Elephas maximus indicus: one gene and its partners. The protein of the gene in region 1 interacts with the protein of each later gene in a pairwise test. Links are inferred from orthologs where the notes say so. Each region holds a gene or a part of one and is shown in the gene's direction. Other genes may lie near its edges. The genes, in order: GFAP, PIAS2 and PDLIM1.

What was found.
Region 2: the proteins of GFAP (region 1) and PIAS2 interact in binary tests that used the Homo sapiens proteins (3 or more experiments, as listed by UniProt). The two-hybrid records come from large-scale screens. The link is inferred for Elephas maximus indicus from reciprocal best matches to the Homo sapiens genes GFAP and PIAS2.
Region 3: the proteins of GFAP (region 1) and PDLIM1 interact in binary tests that used the Homo sapiens proteins (3 or more experiments, as listed by UniProt). The link is inferred for Elephas maximus indicus from reciprocal best matches to the Homo sapiens genes GFAP and PDLIM1.

Annotation. Positions count from the first base shown.
Region 1 is NC_064837.1:51,332,448-51,337,284, reverse strand, and holds the start of GFAP (glial fibrillary acidic protein), read left to right. Parts: upstream 1-1,656; 5' UTR 1,657-1,910; coding exon 1,911-2,506; intron 2,507-3,382; coding exon 3,383-3,443; intron 3,444-3,639; coding exon 3,640-3,735; intron 3,736-4,510; coding exon 4,511-4,672; intron 4,673-4,837.
Region 2 is NC_064829.1:55,599,722-55,604,558, reverse strand, and holds the start of PIAS2 (E3 SUMO-protein ligase PIAS2), read left to right. Parts: upstream 1-1,741; 5' UTR 1,742-1,916; coding exon 1,917-1,940; intron 1,941-2,384; exon of another isoform or gene 2,385-2,533; coding exon of another isoform or gene 2,534-2,536; intron 2,537-4,837. UniProt on the Homo sapiens protein: Functions as an E3-type small ubiquitin-like modifier (SUMO) ligase, stabilizing the interaction between UBE2I and the substrate, and as a SUMO-tethering factor.
Region 3 is NC_064834.1:47,035,642-47,040,478, reverse strand, and holds the start of PDLIM1 (PDZ and LIM domain protein 1), read left to right. Parts: upstream 1-2,203; 5' UTR 2,204-2,321; coding exon 2,322-2,417; intron 2,418-4,837. UniProt on the Homo sapiens protein: Cytoskeletal protein that may act as an adapter that brings other proteins (like kinases) to the cytoskeleton. Involved in assembly, disassembly and directioning of stress fibers in fibroblasts.

The DNA of each region.
Region 1 (4,837 bases):
GTGTCCTCCATGGGTGACCCTGCTGGTATCTGAATACCAGTGGCATAGCTTCCAGCATCACAGGAACACACAAGCCCCCATGGTATGACAAACTGACAGACACCGTGTCTCATATATACAGGCACAATTCACCCGACTTCACTGACAAGTCCTTCCTGCTTTTGTTACATCTTTTCTCTCCAGGATTGTCTTGTACTCCTTTCAAATAGATTTACTTGAACAAAAAGGGGAGACCGCACACTGTGACTTGCCCAGCAACATGGAAGGGCAAGCCACCCTCCTCGCCACAGAAAATTGGGACAAGGATGAATAGCACAAGGATTCATCCGCAGTCTTGCTCTTCCTTTAAAGCCTCCATCTGTTCCCAGCTCCCCAGCCCAGCAGGATCAAAGGTCAGTGGGTGCCCCCTCCTAACGATGACCCTCCCCATGCTACTGGTCAAGACTCAGAGTTACATGTGGCTAGAGACTCAGGAACTCTCACCTCTGCCCCTCAGAGCTGGGACTCTCAGGGGAAGCCCTCATGTCTGGCCCTAGCAGGCAGCAAATACCCGGTGTGTGGTGGGGGGTATTACCCGGACAGAGGCTCAAGGGCCTGAGCTGGCTGAGAGCTGAGGAGGAGCGGGCAGCCTCCTCTGGCAAGCTGGAGACCTGGCAGTGCCGAGCTGGCCACCCCCAGGGCCTTTCCCTCATGCCCACTGGATGACTCACCTTGGCACAGACACAATGGTACGGGGTGGGCACAGAGCCTGCTTCCCGCTGCACCCAGCCCCCTCAGATGCTTTCCGAGAAACTCATTGAGCAGAGGGCTCAGGCTGCGCCCTGGCCTGACAGCCTGCCATCTTGGGAAAAAAGCAGCACAGCCCCCTGGGGGGCTGCCCTTGAAGTGTGGCACCCTCACCAGCAGTGGAGAACAAGGCTCCTTTCAGCAAGTGCCTGGGGAAAGGAATGGGAGGCCCAGGCATGGACAGTGGGCTATGGCGATGGGGGGGGGGGCATGGAGGGCTATCCGCTTCCCAGAGGTCCAAGGACACATATTGGCAAGGGGCTGGGCAGGGGGAAGAGGTGGACCTGGCTCCCGGCCTATACACAGTGGCTCCCGATTTCCCAAACTTACCCATCCCTGGAGGCTTTTCCCATCTTCCCAGCCTGATGTGTGGGAACTCAAAGGTGATACATCTCCAGCAGGAGAATGAGGGGGTGGCCAGGGAAACAGGGTGTCACAACAACAAAGATGTGAGCAGGGACAGCCAGGTCATTGGTAACTCCTTTGTGGAGCTGTCAAGGCTCAGGAAGGGAGTACAATGAGGCCAGGCGGGGTCTCAAGAGTGGCCCAGGGAGAGGGTCGGGAGTACAGTGTTGGGCCCTCTTCCATACCGGGATCCCCAAAGCCTCTTCTGTCAACCCCCAACTGCTAGATAGAGACTCAGCTGACCGTCCAAACAAAGGGCTGGAGTCCAGTCCAGCTCCCAGCCCCAGAACTCCTGGGAAGGGTGAGGAAGTGGGAATGGCAGATGTCTGTGTCCAGAGGGGAGGATGTCCAGGAAGCTGTCAGGAAGGGGGCTGGGTAGGAAACTGTAACATAAGCTGTTCCTTGAGAGTCTGGAACAGGTTTGTTATTCGCCAAATTCCCATCATCAAGCAGGCACTCGATGGGTGAGGGGATGCCTGGGTGATGGAATTTGAGAGTTAGAAGGTAGGTTAGATGTCCCCTGATTCAGCCCCTTCTTGACCCACCTTCCTAGAAAGGGGGTCTCCTTGTCCAGTGGCTAGGGCCCTAGACCCAGAACCTGGTCCCAGGCACTACCCATCAGTGCCCCTCCCTGACTGTGGCCCAGGCCAGGGCTGGCATGCCCAGGAAGCCCTGCCTCTGGGCACAGTGACCTCGGTGGGGTGAGAGGAGCTCTCCCCATGGCTGGGCTGCGGCCCAACCCCACCCCCTCAGGCCATGCCAAGCGGTGTTGCCAGGGCAGCCTGGGCAGTGCCAGGCCAGCCCACTCCTCCATAAAGCTCTCAGATGCCAGAAGCAGGCAGAGCCCGGCCCTGATGGAGCGGAGACGCATCACCTCGGCGGCCCGCCGCTCCTATGTCTCCTCCTCAGAGACCATGGTGGGGAGCCTGGGTCCCGGCCGCCGCCTGGGGCCTGGCACCCGCCTCTCTCTGGCCCGAATGCCCCCTCCACTCCCGACCCGGGTGGACTTCTCCCTGGCTGGGGCACTCAATGCCGGCTTCAAGGAGACACGGGCCAGCGAGCGGGCTGAGATGATGGAGCTCAATGACCGCTTTGCCAGCTACATTGAGAAAGTGCGCTTCCTGGAGCAGCAGAACAAGGCACTGGCTGCCGAGCTGAACCAGCTACGGGCCAAGGAGCCCACCAAGCTGGCCGATGTCTACCAGGCAGAACTGCGTGAGCTGCGGCTGCGGCTCGACCAGCTCACCGCCAACAGTGCCCGGCTCGAGGCGGAGAGGGACAACCTGGCGCAGGACCTGGGCACCCTGAGGCAGAAGTGAGGACGGGTACCGAAGAGAGGGGTTCTTGAGCAGGGGGACTGAGCTCCTGAGAGGGGTGCCACGGGCCTGCAAGGATCTTGGGTGCAGGGCTCTGCCTCCTTGCTCCCTGGGTTTCTCCACCTCTGGGACAAGAAGGCGATCCTTGTTCCACCATACAGTGGGAGGGACCAGGGAGAGGCCTAACACCTCAGAAGATCAGTCCAGGTACTCTTAGCACCTCCCAACCAGGGGAACGCATGGCAGAGACCTGAGTGGGTGGGGTCTTTCAGTTTCATCCACTGCTGGGCCTCCTGACTGCAGGCAGGGCGTTCGCCTTTTCTGAGCCTGGGTCTATATAGAGGAGGTGTGAAAAGGGGAGAAGGTGGGTGTCTACAAGGAGAATGGGGAGGGGAAGGAGGCAGGGGAAACTGCAGGCAGGCCTGGCTTCAGAACACACTCTGCCTATCATCACCTTGTGACCTTAAGCAAGCCACCTCAACCTGTGCAGCCTTGAAGTGGGGGTCATAATAAACCCTATTTCAATAGTTATTTGCCCAGGGTCTGAGAAGCCGCAGGGACACGATGTTTGCTGAGCTGGCAGGGCATGCAGGATGGCCTGCAAGTGCAGGAGGAGTGTGTGTTTGTGCACACAGCAGCAGCAGGTGCTGTGGATGTGCCTGCCTGAGCGGGAGCAGGTCCACCAACTCTGATAAGGCCCCTTGGTAATGAGTTAAAGCAAAGTCCCTGGACTGCTCACCCTGCTTGTCAAGTCCTCTGTCTAGGACCCCTCTGACCCTGGCTCTCCTGCCACTCTACCAGTCCTGGGAGCCTGGGGAGAGACCCGAGAGTCCTCAGAAGAGCTTGGACCCAGGAATGTGTCTTTCCCACCCCAGACTCCAGGACGAAACCAACCTGAGGCTGGATGCGGAGAATAATCTGGCTGCCTATCGACAGGTCAGGGAGGTGGAGGGGTGGGGCAGGGAGGAGGGATAGGCTTGCAGGCAGCCCACTCCAACAGAGCCCCCCCAGCCCAGCCCTCCAGAGCAATGTGCTGCTCCCCCCTGGTCCCCGAAGAAGGGATAAACAAGGCTGGGAAATGTGGAGGAAGAGTCTGGGGTCCAAGTGGCCCTTTGTCTCCTCCCCATTCCAGGAGGCAGATGAAGCCACCCTGGCCCGCTTAGATCTGGAGAGGAAGATTGAGTCACTGGAGGAGGAGATTCGGTTCCTGAGGAAGATCCATGAGGAGGTGAGGCCAGGGCAGAGGGAGGAGGGCCCAAAACAGAGACTGAAATGGACAGAGATGGAGAAAGACGCTCTGAGCCGTCATTTTGGTATTGACTGATAGAGAAACAGAATGAGAGAGAAACAGAGTGAGAGACAGAGAGACAGATACAGAGAGAGACTAAGAGAGAGAGACAGACAAGAGTATCCAACCCCTAGTAAAACGCACACACTCAACGCCCCAACTCCATTTACTGAGTGTTACGATGGGTCCTATTGCCTCATTTTTTTTTTTTTTCCTTCACAACAGCCCAATGAAGTAGAATCCATTCCAGTATCATCCCCTCTTCACAGATTAGGACACTGAGGTGCAGAGGGGTTAAGACACTTGGTAAGGTCACCTAGCTAGTTTGACTCCAACCCCCCTCTGCCATCTGTCTCCCTTAAAATGACAGCCACTTATAAGAACCCCTGAGCTCTGGCCTCAGATCATAGATTCAGAATCCATGTTGCCATGGAATCAGGAACACAGGCACCCCCATTCACAGAAATATAGTCACTGTCCCCCAAGAATGCAGGCACACTCTCAGAGCCAGCTCCGGCCTGTCCAGCTCTGGGAAGAGGACACCATGAAGCCCCAAACCATCCCGTGTCTCCCTTAGCCTGGGCCGTGCCACTTTCTCCAACTAGGGCTGCCCCAATTCCCTTAGCTGTGTCCATGTCCAAGAGGGCATGATGCTGCAGGAAACCCTGGCTGTCGCCTGAGTCCTAAGCCCTGGGACTTTTCTCACGCTGGCCAGGAGGTACGGGAGCTCCAGGAGCAGCTGGCCCAGCAGCAGGTCCACGTGGAGGTGGACACGGCCAAGCCAGACCTCACAGCGGCCTTGAGAGAGATCCGCACGCAGTACGAGGCAGTGGCATCCAGCAACATGCATGAGGCAGAGGAGTGGTACCGGTCCAAGGTAGCCTAACTGTGGGCAAGCCTGTCTCCTCCAGGCAGCTCTCCTTGTACCATACGGGAGAATTGGGAGGGAGGATGCAGGAAGGTGGGAAAGGATCTTCTCTGGGTTACTGACCTCTGGAGAAATGAAGTGACTTGTCCAGGGTCACACAGGCACTACTACCTC
Region 2 (4,837 bases), on another chromosome or scaffold:
GGTTATCTGTAAACGTGTACAAAGTGGCCAAAAACTTGAGCCACCAGATGTGCACATTCCTAGCTGAGACTGAACAAGATGACTCTGTGCCTTATTGTTTTAGCTCTCATACAGTAAACAAGTGTCCTTTTAGCTGTCTATTTAGTGCTACATTTTTCTCATTTTTGTGCTTTTGGCTGGTTATATTGTTGTTTAAAATAGCCTCCAAGCCTAGTGCTTATGTGCTATCTAGTGTTCCTAAGTGCAAGAAGGCCTTGATGTGCCTTACAGAGAAAATACGTGTGGTCAATGAGCTTCATTCAGGCTTAAGTTATAATGCTCTTGGCCATGAGTTCAGTGTTAATGAATCAACGATATATACTAAATAAGGTGTTTTTTAAACAGAAAACACACATAAAACAAGGTTATGTATTGACAGATTGACGAAAATGTGACCAGAGGCTTGCAGGAACCTAACCCTGTATTTCCCTGGAGCAATGGTTCAGTGTTCCCAAAGATTTTATAGAACGCCGCTACCACAAATAACAAGAATTGACTGTACCCTATACTTACCGTGGATAAATGCTATCAAGGAAAAGTTCAGGGTACTATGAGAGGTCATGAGAGGGATATGAATTAAAATGGGGCTAGGGAAGGTCTTTCTGAAGAAGTGACACTTCAACTGAGACCTGAAAGATTTACAGAAGTTCGAAAAGAGGATGAAAGTGGGAAATTATTCTTGGCCCAGGGATTTGCATTCACAGGTTAAAACATAGGGAAAAAAAGTCTGGTGGAGGAACTGAAACATGGGCAGTGTTTCTGGAGTGAGGGGGAGTGGGAAGTAGCTAGACAGGAGACAGATTCAACACGGCTCTTTGTAAGTTCCACTAAGTTTTCAAGGCCTTCCTTGGATGGGTTCCACCCACATCTTCAAGAAAATTTGAACTCTGGGCTCAGTTCAGAGAATTTTCGGATACCAGCTTGACTCAGCATCCTCTTTGTCTCTCATCCTTTCATCAGCATGTTAGGGGTGCCATCAAGCTTCCTTCCAGCTCCTCTGCCATGGCATTAGTTCTTCCCTAGCTATCTGATTTCCCTGACCCCTCAACTTTTTATCAGGGCCCTTCTGAGCGCTCTCTTATTTCACTTCCACTCTCCCCTCACCCCCCAGAGTCTCAATTGTGCAGTCCATGACATTCCCTCGCCCTTCAAAGGCTGGGCCAGGTTCCTACTTGAGGATGTTAGCAGTTTAAAGAGATCTCCCCAATCCTGTACCGTTAGATACAACAATAGCTTACCCAACACCCATATTCAGATTGTTCCGCCACGACTACTCTGAGGAATGCTTTTATTGCAGCTGCTTCCTCGGTCCACAGCCACTGCGTGGAAGGACACCATAAGAATTCTGCCGAACTGCTCCTGTCACAAGTCCCGTCCATCTCTTCCTCTCTGCCACTTCCCCGGGCCAGATCCTCCTTAAGCCTGCCGGTAAGGCTGCAGTCGCTGCTGCGTTTCACGGAGTCGGGACCGGCGTCGCGATGTGGAGGGAAGTGACAACGAGGGCTGAGGAAGGCAAGGCGACAGAACCAGACGCAAGAAGACGTGCGGGTCGCAGGAGAGAGAGGGATCTAACGCGAAGAGAGCCGCGCGCAAGAGCGTGGGAGAAGGCGCGGGCGGAAGGCGGTGGCCGGGCTGGGCAGGGGAGACCGGGGGCGGGGCAGCGGCGCGCCGGGGGCGGAGCTCCCGTGCCAGTCACGTGAGGGTCCCGGCGGCGTCGGCGGCGACGGCGGCGGCTGTGGCCGCGGCGTCTTTAGCGGCGCCCAGTGCAGGATGGTGCTGGAAGCGGCGGCGGCGGCCCTGGTGGCGGCGGCGTTGTTGGCGGCAGTGGGAGGGGGTGCTGTGGTAGCAGTAGCGGCAGCGTCCGCGGCTGGTATAAAATGGCGGATTTCGAAGAGTTGAGGGTAAGCAGGGGCCAGGAGTGGAGCGCAGAGGCCGGGGGGAGGGGAGGCGGGGAAGCCGCAACGTCGTCTGCTGCCACCTTCTCGTTGCCGGGACCGGTTGGCCGACCCCGACTCCCGGCGCGCGTCCGAGCCGGCGCCCAAGTGGGCGGGGGAGGGGAGCGAGTCGGCGGAGGACGCCTGGGCCTTGCGGGTGCTGTGGGCCTGGGGCCGAGGGCGAGCCCGCCTCTGGGTCCTGTTGGCGAATCCAGGCACCTGGCGCGGGGGTAGGGGCCGCCCTGGGGAGGGGCACGTGGGACCCGACTTCCCCGTTTAAGGTCTGAGGTAAAAAACAGCGTTTTATTTTCCACCTTCGCAAGGGGTGTACGTGTCTATGGCGATTGAGAAGTCTACATGCCACTTACTTGGAGGAAGACTATTTTCTGAAAGGTGAAGTTGCGCTCGAGAATGTTTCTCTCCTCTCTGTGGCTGATGATACCGTGTAGTCAGGTCTGTCACAAGAAAAGGCCCCTTCCTCCAACCAGTGTTTCCTCCACATATTGGAAGCGTGATCTTTTGGGAGCCTTGCCTTCAGTAATCGATATTTTCTTGGTACCATGGTAAGAAATCTAGAAAGTCTGTGTTGTCATGAGTTTTTTTTTTTTTTTTGTCAGTGAATTTGCTTTGCTCTTGAGGAAAAAAAAATTTTTTTCCTAGCCTTAGAGCAAGGTCATAACTTGATAGTTATCTTTGTATAGTAGACATTTGTAATGGAGTATAATGGAGGTTAGCAGAATTTTTTTTTTTTTCCTTCAGACTGATAACCTTCAGAGTCCTTAACTGAAAGAAAACTAAGTGTGACAAATGAGCCGGATTTATTTTTTATGGTCGCTATGTTTTTTTTTATGTCCGGGTTTATGTAAATAGAATATGTAAGGACGGGAACCCTGATACTTAAAAATATATATTTCAAAATAGGAATGAATGTCAACTTTAAGTTAACTGCAGCCAGTTTGCGTAACATAGACTATGATGTTAGGGTTACTTTTTTGGAATAAGAAGGAAGAAGAATCTGTTAAAAGAGTCAGTTTTGTATGTTACTTTTCGGTGAGGGATCTGGTGGAGGAAAGTCATTTGTTACCTGGCTAGTAACTTACAGAAGAACATATTCTTGGTTTTGGTCGAAAGGAGATTGTTGTAGTTTACATAATGCCTGCCATTTGTCCCCCACCGCCCGCCCCCCCCAAAAGGAATTAGAATGCAGTAGAAAAGCCATGTTCATGCATTTTATGATGGTGTAGTGGTTAAGTGCGACGGCTGCTAACCAAAGGGTTGGCAGTTCAGATCCGCCAGGGGCTCCTTGGAAACTCTATGGGGCAGTTCTGCTCTGTCCTGTAGGGTCGCTGTGAGTTGTAATCCACTCGACGGCGCTGGTTTTGGTTTTTGGACTAGTTTATATAGAGGACCATGATAAGAAAAGGATGTTCATATTGCCAAGTTCAAGTAAGGGTTTTAGTGGCTGATGAACCTCAGGTTGGAGGTTTTAACACCTGTAGAGCTTTTGAAAAAACCATGCTTGAGCTTCACTTCTGTAAATCCATGTATTAGGTTTAGAAGACTGCATTTTGAAATTATTCTCACCTGCGGTAGTAATTTTTGTGTAGTGACAAATATTTGCAAATTTTTCTCTTCCTATTATTTTTATTGATGAGAACTTTTCCAGAACTTGTGTTAGACTTTTATAAATGTTGTTGAAGCTTAACAAAAAAGCAGAGGATTTATTTACCAGTACAGGGCAGAAACGGTGCTTACATTGGAGTGGAACCAGGAACTGGAAAGTGGTCAGAAACCAAAGAAACTTTTCTCCCTCTTTCTTTCTCTCCATTTTGTTGTGTGGATCAGCTGTCTTTGCTTCTCCCTGCACTTGATAGAAGATGGCCCTTCCCTTACAGTTGACTTCAGGTGACCGACAGAGACTAACCAGGGAGAGTTCTCAGAGGAGGGGAGGATATGGGCTGGGCAGATGCTTGAAAAGTTATCCATGTTCATCTTTGCCTTAGCCACTTTAGCAGCTGTGATGGTTAAGGTTATGTGTCAACTTGGCTAGGCCATGATTCCCAGTGGTTTGGCAGGTATTATGTAATTATTCTCCATTTTGCGATATGATGTGAACAGCCAGTTTGTTGAAAGACCATTCAGTCGAAAGCCAATCAGTTTCCTTAGGGGCGCAGCCTGCAGCCAGTATGTATATATGAATGTTCTGGCAAAACTCTCTCTTGGATCCTGTATCCTATCGGTCATCCTCTGACTTCTGTTCTTGGGACGTGAGCCAGCAACTTGCTGCCCGATCTGCAGATCTTGGGATTCCTTAGCTCCCGCAGCCATGTGAGCCAGCAGCCTTCCGCCTGACCTTCCAATTTTGGGTTTGTTGGCTACCGCAACCACGTGAGTCAGGAGAAGCCTTTAGTCTGATGCTTGACCCATGGGTTTGGGACTTGTCAACTTCTACAACTGCGTGAGCCGTTTTCTTGAGATAAATTTATATATATATATATATATATATATATATATATATGCGTGCTTCATTGGTTTTTCTTCTCTGGAGAAAAACGTTTGGTACTGAGAGTGGTTCTAGAGGGGAAATTCATAAGGAGGATGAGTTTTCTGAATTGTTTCTCAAGCCTGGCTAGCCTTAAAGGTGCTGATGACTGTCTCTAGTAGTAAAGAGGACACTGTTAATCCATGGCATGAGGTGGCCATAGAAATACACAAAATAACATCACCCATGGTAAAGTATTTGTGAGAGATAAGGTTCTGGGTGATCGCATATTTGATATTTTTCTACGGTTTCATCCAAATGAGAAGTATAAGCTGGTTGGTCGGTCGTGGTTTTGCTGGACAAAGTGGTGAAAGAACGAGTT
Region 3 (4,837 bases), on another chromosome or scaffold:
CAATGTTGTACAGAACAAGCATGTATTGGCATCTGCTATGGAGTCCCTGGGTGTCACAAAGCACACAACTACTAGCTCAACTACTCCTCACTACTAGCTGAAAGGTAGGCAGTAGGAGCCCACCCACAGGCACCTCAGAAGACAGCCCTGGCAATTTGCTTCTGAAAAGTCACAGCCTGGAAAACCCTATGGAGCAGTTCTACTCTGCACAGGTGGAGTCCCATCAGTTTGAATGAACTCTGTGACAACAACTATGTTTCAGGTCCATGTGAGGTCCAGGACACCTGGGGATGAATGCCAGGCAGTCCTCCCCTTAGGGAGCGTACAGCTGTGGCTTTTCAACGTTCTTTTCCTACAAGGATACATAATATTGAAAACTACTCTGCATCTAAGGGCAGAATCAAAATTTGTTGATTGCCCTTAAAATTTGGCAGGGACTTGAAACACTAGCATGTTTGCTAAGTAACGGGATCTTAATGAAAGAGGATGCAATTTTGGTGTTGGTGGTTGGTTACTGGTTGTAACTCTACGCCTTTTTTCTCAGATTAAAGAAAGAATACGTCAACCCAAAAAGCAAACCAGTTGCCACTGAATTGATTCCAACTCATGGTGATCCCACATATTGCAGAGAACTGCTCCACAGGGTTTTCACGGCTGTGACCTTTCAGAAGACTTCCAGGCCTCTTTCAAGGTTTATGTCCAAACCTCACGCTGTTGAGTTGATTCGGACTCATAGCGACTCTATAAGACAGAGTAGAACTGCCCCATAGGGTTTCGAAGGTCGTCTGCCACATCGTTCTTCTGTGGAGTGGCTAGTAGGTTCAAACAGTTGGCCTTTTAGTTAGCAGCCCTGTGCTTGATCACTGAAGCATCAGGTAGTAATAAACGCAATGGAGAAAAATAAAGCAGGGAAAGCTGAAGGAATTTTTGTGTGCCCTCAAGTGGATTCCAACTCATAGCGATCCTACAACAGAGAGTAGAAGTTGCCCACGCTGTAATCTTTATGGGACTAATAGCCAGGTTTTTCTCCTGTGGACCCACTACAGCGTTTGTAATCACCCCCGCCCCTTTCCGTGAGCAGGCGAGGGCTTAACCATTGCGTCACCAGGGCTCCCTTCTAGAGAAAAAAAAAAAAGAGAGTAAGTTTTAAATAGGTGCTTAGAGCAGGTTTCACTGAGAGGAGAACAAGAACAAAGAGATAACCCTGGGGGTGTCTGGGAGAAGGGCACTCCAGACAGATGGAGAATGCAAGGCCCTGAAAGAGAGTAAAGAGGACAGTGTGGTTGGAGCCAGGGAGCCTGTAGCAGCAGGAAGTGAGGTCAGAGAGGTAGTTGTGACTGATCCTATGAGAGTTTTAAGGATTAGGGCTTTTACTCTGAGGAAGGTGGGGAGTCAGAAGAATGCAGTCTAGGGGGAGGAGGGCAGGGAGCCCAGATAGAGGGCTAGTGTCAGGCTGGGAACCCAGGTCCTCTGACTCAGCCCAGTGCCCTTTCCATGCACTTAGCACTTGGCCTGCCCCAGACTTGAGGTATAAATCGTCCATGAACTAACTGTTGAGAAGGTGGGAACCTAGGGGAACTCCAGCCTGGAGGAAAGGTTTCCAGGCAGATCCCACCCAACCCAGTGATCAGGAAGTCCAATTATAAAATCGTGCTATGGCCTTATTAGCATTAGAATAGTCCCTGTGTGGAGCTGTCTAGCTCAGGACTCTGGGTCAGTGGTCCGAACACACCACTTTGTGGCCTCAGGCAAGTCTTCTAACCTCAGGCGGACTCAGTTACTTCATCTGTAAAATGGGACTAAAGGCCCTTAACTGCCTCTTAGCATCCAATGAGATCATACGAAAGCTCTTTTTAAACATCATTATCGTTTACAAAATGCAAGTAGAAAACTGGAGCTGACTTCAGAGGATTGACTTTGCACATTTTAAAACTGTTTTAAAAAGGACCAAATACATATTTATCTCCTCCGCGGTGAGTCGGCACCAGCCCTCTCACCTAGCACCGGCAGCGGGGCTGAGAGCGGCGGGGCTGGGTGGGGACAGGAGCGAGGTGGTGCTGGGGTCCCGCGCAGAGCCAGAGCTCTTTCTGTCCGACTCCGGCCGTGTCCTCAGCCGGCGCGCGGGGCGGGGAGCGACTGCAGGGTGCGGAGAGGGGACAGGCGGGGCGCGCGGCAGCGACGCGGACTGGGCGGAGTCGCCCGCGCCCTCCCTCCTCCCGCCTTGGTCCCAAGCCGCTGGCTCCGCGCCGCGCGCTCTTTCTCCGACAGCTGCCCCGGGAGCCCAGTCCTACCCCGTCTGTCTCGCCCGCTGCCGCCGCGCCATGACCACCCAGCAGATAGTCCTCCAGGGCCCGGGACCATGGGGCTTCCGCCTCGTGGGGGGCAAGGACTTCGAGCAGCCGCTCGCCATTTCCCGGGTAAGAGCAGCCTGGGACGCGCGCGAAAGCAGGACGCTCCTGGGCAAGAGGGCGGCGCGCCCCGGCGTCCTGGGGAGCCTGGGTCTCCGCGGGCGCTATCGGGGACGGCAGCTTTGGGCGCCGGGGACGGGAGCCGGGACCGAGCGGCGAGTCCAGGTGTGCCGGGTACACCACGCGCTAAGCGCTCTCCGCGCGCCTTGGAAGGGCAGCTCCCGTCGCTCTTTCCCTGGCGCTGCGTTCCCGAGCGAGCCGGCAGGTGGCCGGGCGTACACTTATGGGGTCCGCTAGAAAGAAGAGGGCAGTTTTCGTTCCTCCTCCCCGGAAGCGCAGCTCCTCGTGTGGGCGCGCCTTGTGAACCCGCGAGGGCATGAGGGTCCCCCAAGATCGCGCACGCTAGGAGATGGGCCTTCCCGGCTCTTAAGACTCAGGGCGGCAGAAAGCAGTTTGGAAGCAGCAGGAAAGACCTGGAAAGTGAGGTGGAATGGGTGGAAAGTTTACTGTGTGGCGTGTGGGGTTAACAAAACAACAACCGAAACAACTAGTTTTCCACTCTCGGGACTTGATCCATAGCCCGGTCTGCCATTCGGAGAAAAGCAGAGTATTGGAAACAAACAAACTAACCCCAGATAAGCTTCTTGGTCATTCTTTCCTGCGGGTGGTGGCCATTACGTCTTTCCACCAGCCATTCCCGAATTATCATCCCCAGGGGATGAAGGAGTTGGTACTGGGGTGGGGTGGGATTCCCACCCCGTGTGTTTGGGGGTGTTCTTGAAAACTTCGGGGGGCTCATGTGTTTGGAAGGGCCCAGGCTCGATCTGGGACCACCAGACCCATCACCCCCAAATAAAGTGGCAACCCTAGGGAGACCCAGATCAGAGACGGGAGTGTGTAGGCTCAGGCTTTGGCCGTCTGTTGTTAGGTGTTGTCAAGACGATTTCCACTCAAAGCGACCCCATATGACTATGGTCACAGCCTAGAACTGCCTTATAGGGTTTTCTAGTCTGTAGTCTTTGCCAGAGCAGATCGCCAGGTCTTTCTCTGGAGGAGCAGCAGGGTAGGTGTGTTCAAACCAACAACCTTTTGTTATCAAGCTCTTAACTGTTGGCTGTCTAGCGTGGTCCAAACACAGCTGATGTCCCACTGCAAGTTGCCACATTCAGTGCCTGTGCCTAGAAGGCATAATGAATGTTTTTTGATTGAAGAAAGGGAACAGAAGCCCACCCTTTGGCAGCTATGCCCTGCCTGGAGGCCCCTTTGGGCCCATCTGAGTCAGAGGCACAGCTCAAACTTGCTCCCCGACCCCCCTCCCATCTTCTAAATACTCCTCTTCCTTGAATAGTCTGGGAAGGTGCCTGTAGGTCATTTTGACTTAAGTCCCTGCCTCCAGCAGCTGAAGGAGTATGGAAGGAGGTACAGGAGGAGAGGAGGCCTTCTCTGCCAGTCCCAATCCTACCCCCCAATCTTTCCAGGTGGGCCTTGCCATGTCGGGAGGTCTCCTCTGACTATTCCATTCCCAAAAGCAGGTGTCCTAATTCTTGGCCCTGTCGGTCACCTGCACACCTTGTCCTACTGGACTTCCTTGATTATTCTCACAAGTCCACGCAGTCTTCCCAGCCACCAGCCGAATTCCTCAATCGCAGGAACTATGCCTTCCCCACATGGAGACCTCCGCCCCCGAGCCTGGCACAGAGTGAAATCTGGCAGTGTGGGTGAATCCTTGTGGCTTATTAATAAATGCTTGCCCTGGGTAGGCATTGCCTCTGCACATTTAGACTCGCTTACCTCATAGTCCATTTGCCCCTGCTCTTTGTGTCTATAATTAACCCGTCAGCTCTCTCCACTTCGGAGATTTATATATGACGTGAAACCTTTTTTTAAGTAGTAGAGGATGTATGGGCAATCTGTTAAAAGGGCAGATACCGCCTGTCATTTTAGCTGCCTTAAAAAATCTTAAGGCAAGTGGCACTGTGCAGGAATGATGGCATGGTGTGGAACACCAGACTCTGAATGCATTTGTTTGTACCTTCATGTATTCATTCGTTCATCAGCACATGCTTAATGAGCAGGTGCTATGTGCTACTGTGCAAAACCTTAAAAACCAAAACAAACCAGTTACTGTTGAGTGGATTCTGACTCTTGGTTGCCTCATATGTGTCAGAGTAAACTCTGCTTCATAGGGTTTTCACAGCTGTGGTCCTTCAGAAGCTAATTGCCAGGCCTTTCTTCCCATGATCCTCTGTTTGGGTTTGAAGTGCCAACCTTCCGGTTAGCAGCCGAGCGCTTACCTCCCAGAGGCCTTATACAAAGCCTTAAAGCCCCAAAACCAAACCATTGCCGTCGAGTCGATTCCGACTCACAGCGACCCTATAGGACAAAGTAGACCCGCGCCATAGAGTTTCCAAGGAGCGCCTGGTGGATTT